2 linked regions of the Daphnia pulex genome follow. The protein of the gene in region 1 purifies or fractionates together with the protein of each later gene. This does not show direct contact. Links are inferred from orthologs where the notes say so. Each region holds a gene or a part of one and is shown in the gene's direction. Other genes may lie near its edges.

Evidence for each region.
Region 2: the proteins of general transcription and DNA repair factor IIH helicase subunit XPD-like (region 1) and cytosolic iron-sulfur assembly component 2B-like purify together in Homo sapiens (affinity purification with western blotting; 3 studies listed by BioGRID and IntAct, with this or other methods). This does not show direct contact. The link is inferred for Daphnia pulex from reciprocal best matches to the Homo sapiens genes ERCC2 and CIAO2B.

What each region holds. Positions count from the first base shown.
Region 1 is NC_060017.1:8,164,268-8,168,298, forward strand, and holds the start of general transcription and DNA repair factor IIH helicase subunit XPD-like, read left to right. Parts: upstream 1-1,231; 5' UTR 1,232-1,327; coding exon 1,328-1,332; intron 1,333-1,391; coding exon 1,392-1,491; intron 1,492-1,562; coding exon 1,563-1,817; intron 1,818-1,883; coding exon 1,884-2,117; intron 2,118-2,178; coding exon 2,179-2,302; intron 2,303-2,364; coding exon 2,365-2,461; intron 2,462-2,521; coding exon 2,522-2,655; intron 2,656-2,713; coding exon 2,714-2,882; intron 2,883-2,949; coding exon 2,950-3,069; intron 3,070-3,134; coding exon 3,135-3,203; intron 3,204-3,261; coding exon 3,262-3,433; intron 3,434-3,496; coding exon 3,497-3,775; intron 3,776-3,859; coding exon 3,860-3,948; intron 3,949-4,016; coding exon 4,017-4,031. Other genes in the region: cyclin-dependent kinase 20-like, read right to left, coding at 26-216, 284-323, 391-461, 520-750, 822-1,140. UniProt on the Homo sapiens protein: ATP-dependent 5'-3' DNA helicase. Component of the general transcription and DNA repair factor IIH (TFIIH) core complex, not absolutely essential for minimal transcription in vitro.
Region 2 is NC_060019.1:10,900,206-10,903,170, forward strand, and holds cytosolic iron-sulfur assembly component 2B-like, read left to right. Parts: upstream 1-1,369; 5' UTR 1,370-1,491; coding exon 1,492-1,615; intron 1,616-1,680; coding exon 1,681-1,760; intron 1,761-1,824; coding exon 1,825-2,097; 3' UTR 2,098-2,133; downstream 2,134-2,965. Other genes in the region: sterol regulatory element-binding protein cleavage-activating protein-like, read right to left, coding at 1-885; microsomal triglyceride transfer protein large subunit-like, read right to left, coding at 2,327-2,498, 2,558-2,725, 2,787-2,941.

The sequences.
Region 1 (4,031 bases):
TAAAAGATAGAAGATTAGAAATGACCTGTTTAGCTGTTATTCGTGATTGGGGGCAATAGCGAAGAAATTGTTCCAGCATCGTTCGTGATGATTCGTCTACATCAATCAGGATTTTCTTAAAGGAGATTTGTTTCCGAGTTTTGGTAAATGAAATTTTGTGGAAATCTGGCAATGCTGATACACCTGGCCAATTTTCTTCGTCTGGAGTGCCTAGTACTATGTAATTACCCACAAAAGAGTTAATGCCATTCACCTTGATTATGATTACCGTATTGTTAATGACCTTGAATGACTGTGCACAGTTGGCCAATGTCATTTTCTCCCTAGGGTTTGATGGAAATCCGGATACTGTTACAACATATTATATTGACAACATTGGCCATTATTTACCGGAAAAAGGGGAGAATTCTTCAACATTTCACCAAAGATACAGCCCATAGCCCATAGGTCGACTTCCGGTCCTGTTGTGAAAAAGGTGTTAGAATTAACATGGCATTTTTAAATTAAAATGAAACTTGCCATAGTTGCGAGAACCATAGAGCAGTTCCGGTGCTCTGTACCACCGCGAAGCCACCTGATGTGTGAATAATCTTTGAGCCTTTTCGGAATGATTGAACGTACGACACAATCCGAAATCGGTCACTTTCAGTTCGCCTCGGGAACCAATCAGCAAATTGGCCGGCTTCAAATCCCGATGCATAATACCCAAACTATGAATATATTCCACAGCGCTGGCTAGCATCCACATGTCTAAATGGAAAGGATTGCATATTGGTTATTTGAATGCCTAAAATCTGATTGTAGAGATGTAAATATGGTACAGCTTTTCACGTGACTCGTCGGCAAAGGTTTGGAGTTGGAGCGCAAAAATTCGTAGAGATCTATTGGTAAATATTCAAAGACCAACACAAGCGAATATCCTTGTGGGAAATAGTCCACTAGGTTCACTACATATTCATGGCGGATCAGGCGAAGAGCCAGCAATTCACGAACAGCCGAGTTCGGCAATCCCTGCTCGTTAATGTTCTTCAACGCTATCCGTTTCATGGCGACCAGTTTCATTGTGGACTTGTCAATACCTTTAAGAACGATCCCGTGTGCCCCTTCCCCAATCCTGCCGTTCACAATATATCTTTCCATGAGATCGTTTAAAAAAACTAATCGCAACAAATATTTTTAAACAACAAATTGGTTGCCTTGACTACGCGCCATCTATTGGTAACCATTATCGACACGTGAAAAGGAAAATTAGTCTGCTAGAAATTTGAAGAAGAACAAGTGGCAAGCAACTTTATGTGCATGTTGTTGTAAACTTTCTCGTACAAAAATGAAGTAAATCCCGCACTTTTGTCAATTCAGAGACCACATTTAATTTATTTACATGTTCATAGATTAAATGTTGATGGACTCCTCGTCTACTTCCCTTACGATTACATATACCCGGAGCAGTTTTCATACATGCTCGAACTGAAACATGCTCTCGATGCAAAAGTATGTTGTATCGTCCAATACTAGTATAACTTGAAATTACATAAATATCTGTTGATGTTGGATCAATTCAGGGTCACTGTTTATTGGAAATGCCTTCTGGAACGGGGAAGACAACAACATTGCTATCATTAATTGTGGCCTACATGAAGGCTCACCCCCTTGATTTAACCAAACTAGTCTACTGTTCAAGAACTGTTCCTGAAATTGAAAAGGTTATGGAAGAATTGCGAAAATTAATGAATTACTACGAAAAAGAGATGGGCATGGAACAAAACATTCTTGGCTTGGCACTTAGCTCCAGAAAGAATCTCTGCATTCACCCCTCAGTAATATGAATTAAATAGTAAAAAGATTTAAAAGTATGGTTAATCAACAACACAATTACATAACAGGTCAGTAAGGAGAGAGAAGGAAAAGTAGTCGACGGGCGCTGTTACGGTCTCACGGCATCGTTTGTAAGAGCTCGTCATGCAGGTGATGACGCTGTGCCAGTATGCAACTTTTATGAAGGATTCGATGCTCATGGAAAAGAATTTCCGCTGCCTCCTGGGGTGTACAACCTGGACGATTTAAAGGAATATGGACAGGCCAAAGGATGGTGTCCTTATTTTCTTGCCCGATACACCGTTAGATCATGACATTTATAAAATATTGTACAACCAAATTAATACCAAATTTAAATTATAGATAACTCACGCCAACATTGTGGTGTACAGCTATCATTACTTACTTGATCCCAAGATTGCAGAAGTCGTTTCCAAGGAAATTTCAAAAACTAGCGTCGTTGTCTTTGATGAAGCCCACAATATTGGTAATTTTACTGAAACGTAACCTCTTAAAATTGCCCTACTAATTAAATATTGGTTTTTCTAGATAATGTCTGTATAGATTCGATGAGCGTCAAGATAACGAAACGTCTGCTGGATAAATGCTCCAATAGCATTCAAATTCTGGAAACCACCATTTCAAAGTAATCACAACTGGATGTGCATGATTAATTTCAGAGTTGTTAACTTTTTTAACTCTTTAGCATGAAAGAAAATGACAACAGAAGGTTGGAGAAGGAATACCAAAGGCTAGTTGAAGGATTGCGAGATGCTAACATAGCGAGAGAAACTGACATGGCTTTAGTTAACCCGGTTTTACCTTCTGAAATTTTAGAAGGTCTGTATTTATTCACAAGTATCCGTTCGGGCCATTTTAACATTTCTTTCATTTATAGAGGCCGTCCCTGGAACGATCCGTACTGCTGAGCACTTCGTGGCCTTTTTGAAGCGAGTAGTAGAGTACATCAAAACTCGACTCCGCGTCCAGCACGTCGTTCAAGAGAGTCCCGCCGGTTTCTTGAGAGATATTCACATTAAAGTGTGTATCGATAGGAAACCTCTAAGGTATATAAAAATACAGTTTCACACGCACAAATTATTATTTTACCTATTTTGTTGATAAACTTTCCAGATTCACCGCAGAGCGTTTATCTTCACTCATTCGCACTCTTGAAATATCCGACCTGACGGATTTCTCACCTCTTGTAACCGTTTCTCACTTTGCTACATTGGTCTCGACATATACTAAAGGGTTAATATCTTTATTTACAGTGATAAAATGGTGAAAAAATATCTAAAAGTAATTTACTATTTTAGATTCACCATCATCATTGAACCGTTTGAAGATCGGGCACCTACAGTTTCCAACCCAATTTTATATTTCAGGTATGTGAATATAGAACACGCAAAGACCAACAGTGATTAATGCTAGTACATTTTACAGCTGTTTAGATTCATCTATTGCCATCAAACCAGTTTTCAATCGTTTCCAAACTGTCGTCATCACCTCAGGAACCCTTTCACCGCTTGATATGTATCCGAAAATCCTCGACTTCCATCCAGTCATAATGACCTCATTTACTATGACTTTGGCGAGACCCTGTATTCTGCCAATGGTAGTAGATGCCTCATTTTTCATAAATGTTAACGTAACACTAAAATTCTTATTTTAAGTATAGATCGTATCGAAAGGTAACGACCAGGTCGCCATGTCATCGCGATACGAAACTCGTGAGGACACCGCCGTTATTCGCAACTACGGAAATTTGTTGGTTGAAGTAGCGGCCGCTGTACCCGATGGGATTGTTTGCTTCTTCACCAGCTACCTATACCTGGAAACAATTGTGTCGTCTTGGTACGATCAGGGCATTATCGATCAATTGCAAAGACACAAGCTCCTCTTTATCGAAACCCAAGACGCAGCAGAAACGAGTTTGGCGCTGATTAACTACATCAAAGTACGTTTCGTTTCTAAAAGTAATTAATTCCTCTAGTCTAAAGATTTTCGTTTAATCTGAATCGATCTGTTTAATCGAGTGAAGGCTTGTGATAATGGACGAGGAGCTGTACTACTTTCAGTCGCACGGGGTAAAGTCTCTGAAGGAATTGATTTTGACCACCATCTTGGACGGTATGAAAAATAATAGGAAAACAAAAGATTCTGACTATATTGACCATTTCTTTTACCGATTCATGTAGCGCCGTGTTAATGTT
Region 2 (2,965 bases), on another chromosome or scaffold:
TTGAGTGGTGGAGTGGAGAGGAAATTGATTGCGGAGCTTTAACCGCAAGTCATAAAGAAACGGTTCAGAATGAGTTTTAAGTAAGATTGTGATAGCGTACGTAAGGACGCGAGAACGAGTCTTGACTGGGAATTTTTTCAATCCACTATTTTTGAGCGGGACGCCGTAAAGTATGTCGGCCATACTTGATCGCACTTCTACCACTGGGTTCTTGAAAGAAAATATGGTGTCTAAGAACTGAGCGTCGTTGCGGAAGGTATTTTCGTCCAGCTTCCACAAATTGGCCGGCGACAAAATGATGCAGCTGAATTCGGGTAGAAGATGTTGAAACGAACGAGCTCTAGGGGCCACACTCTCCACGTAAAGGCAAACATCTCTAAGAGTCAGGTTACTCCTAGGTGAATGGAAACCCACTACATCAGAATGCAGCTTGAAGACTTCACTCAATGGGCCTCGAAAAGCATCCATCATGCCCAAATCAGACGTCCATGGATTGACAGAGGACCGTACAACTATTTGTTGTATGAAAAAAGATGGTTGCTGAGTTCCCCATCTGGTTGGATACTGAAAGCTTTTTCCAAATTCAAGATCAGAAGAGATTCTTTTCTCTGGAAGCGGGAAAGATATCTCCTCTGGTTCATTGCCTGGAAAAGGCAAGGACAATAAAGGATGACACGAAGTGAGAACAATAATAATTGCCACTATGATTGTGCACCAGGGGTAGCTAGAACACAGAAGGCCATGTTTGTAGTAGAGGAGTGCTACCCTGTCGGGTATACTCAGGCCTTTGGTGCTTGAATTCAGTCCACTTCCATTAGCAAGTCCAGCCGAATCAACATCTTTGACGGCGGGATGATGACCAATTTGTGGCTCAACAAAAGGCATGTTTGAGTAAGTCCAAAAATATTAAAACAAACTGTAGACGACGAATAGTGAATAAATTTCACGACATTTCGCCACACTTTCCAGTATTGGCAATATTGGGAATGACCTCCGAGAGCAAACGTTTCTCCTAAACAAGAAAATCAATATAATAAGAGATTTTTTAATTTAAAACCGGCTGCAGATTCAATTTTAATCTCTATTTACCTGTCGAAAATGCCCAAAAAAGAAAAACATGTCAACTAAAGATCAATGCCTTGACACAACTGGAGCGTCTAGTGCAGAAAATTGTAACGTGGTGGTGGAATTAAACAAGAAAAGAAATAATACAGTACCTACCAGAGTTGTCCTAAAATTTGTTTACAAAAATAGTTAAATTAGTAAAATTCGTTTGCCAATATGTTTTATGGTTATTAAGTTATTTAGTTTTAAATATTGCCGATTCCGCAATAGTTCACTCAGCCGCCGCCGCGCACACAACTAAACATTTATCGGTATCGCTAGATGCCGTTACTAGTTCTGTTTACTTGTAGTTATTCGCATGTTATTCGTTTCGCGATTGCGTTCGTTATTAGTCGGATAAACTTGTCAAAGTGTTGAATTGTAAGAATGACTTCCAAAGGGATCGAAAATGTGAATCCACAGTTATTTACGAAGAAGACAAAAAGAGAAATAACAAGTGAAGAAGAAGATGAATCAGTAGAGGATCCCATAGATGAGAGGGAAATATTCGGTAAAGACTTTCGCACTTGCGTAATACATCATTAAACAAATTCGCTTATCTCTCCATAATTATAGATTTGCTAAGGGATATCAATGATCCTGAGCATCCTATGTCACTTGAAGAACTGAATGTTGTACAAATCACGAATATAGAAGTAAAATATGAAATGTCTGATTTCACACAAAATCATTACCTCTATTTCCTTTATGTATGTACAGGTTGATGACAAAAAAAGCAGTGTTAAAGTCTTTTACACTCCAACAATCCCTCATTGCAGCATGGCAACTTTAATAGGACTGTCCATCAAAGTGTGTCTTCTCAGGTCTCTACCACCTAGGTTCAAAGTTGAAGTAAACATTTCCCCAGGTTCACATGCTTCAGAGGAAGCTGTTAATAAACAGCTAGCTGACAAAGAAAGAGTCTCAGCCGCTTTGGAAAACAGCAATCTACTTGAAGTTGTTAATCAATGCTTAGTAAAAAGTTTGGAATAATAACCATTTGATCAATACATTATGGATGAAAATGCAGTTTATTTTGATGGAACACATTCAAATCTATTCAGTGACAATTACTTTACATTGTCCCTGTTCATTTACATTCAATTAGAACCATGAAAGTTGTAAACTACTTTAAACCACTTTGCTTCATTTGAGCATCTTTGGACCCCAATTATGTCATTTAAAATATTTACCTAAAAACAAAAAGAAAAACACATTGCTTTTAAAAATAAGATGATCCAGTACTCTCAACTGCAGGGAACATTTCATTGCAGAAGCCAGAATTCTGGTCATTCAGTTTGAACGTGCGACCTGGGACGAAATCTTGGCGTTTCTTCTTTTTGTGAATCCAGTGCTTAGTTCCCGGAATGCTTTCGCGCTTCTGCACAGTGTAACTAAACAACACAGGGATGTTAAGTTAGTTCGACGCTGAAAAAATAATTGTGACACTCACTCTATGTTGAATTCAGCTTGGCCCATACGCAAGCATAAAAGAATTCCGTTAGCAAAGCTAACATCATTGACGAAATCGACCCGAGATTCAGCACCCACAGTGAAATCAACAGATGATTTAACAAACGGCGTGTTTAAATTTAATGACCCCTCTAGCTCCCATGCAGCGCTGAAATGAAAATATGAGTTTTATCATTATGATCAGAAATCCAGTCTGTAAATTGACTTACATATCTTCGACAACTGAATGAGAATTTCTGTTCCAAATACTGATTTGGATTTCGCCACCAAAATCAAAAGAGACAGAACCACGCACGTCGAGTGTAGTAACAAAACCACTTTGGAGTGGTACGACATTACGATAATCCTGAAGCAGCACAGTAGCCTGTTTATGAATGTCAATAGAAAT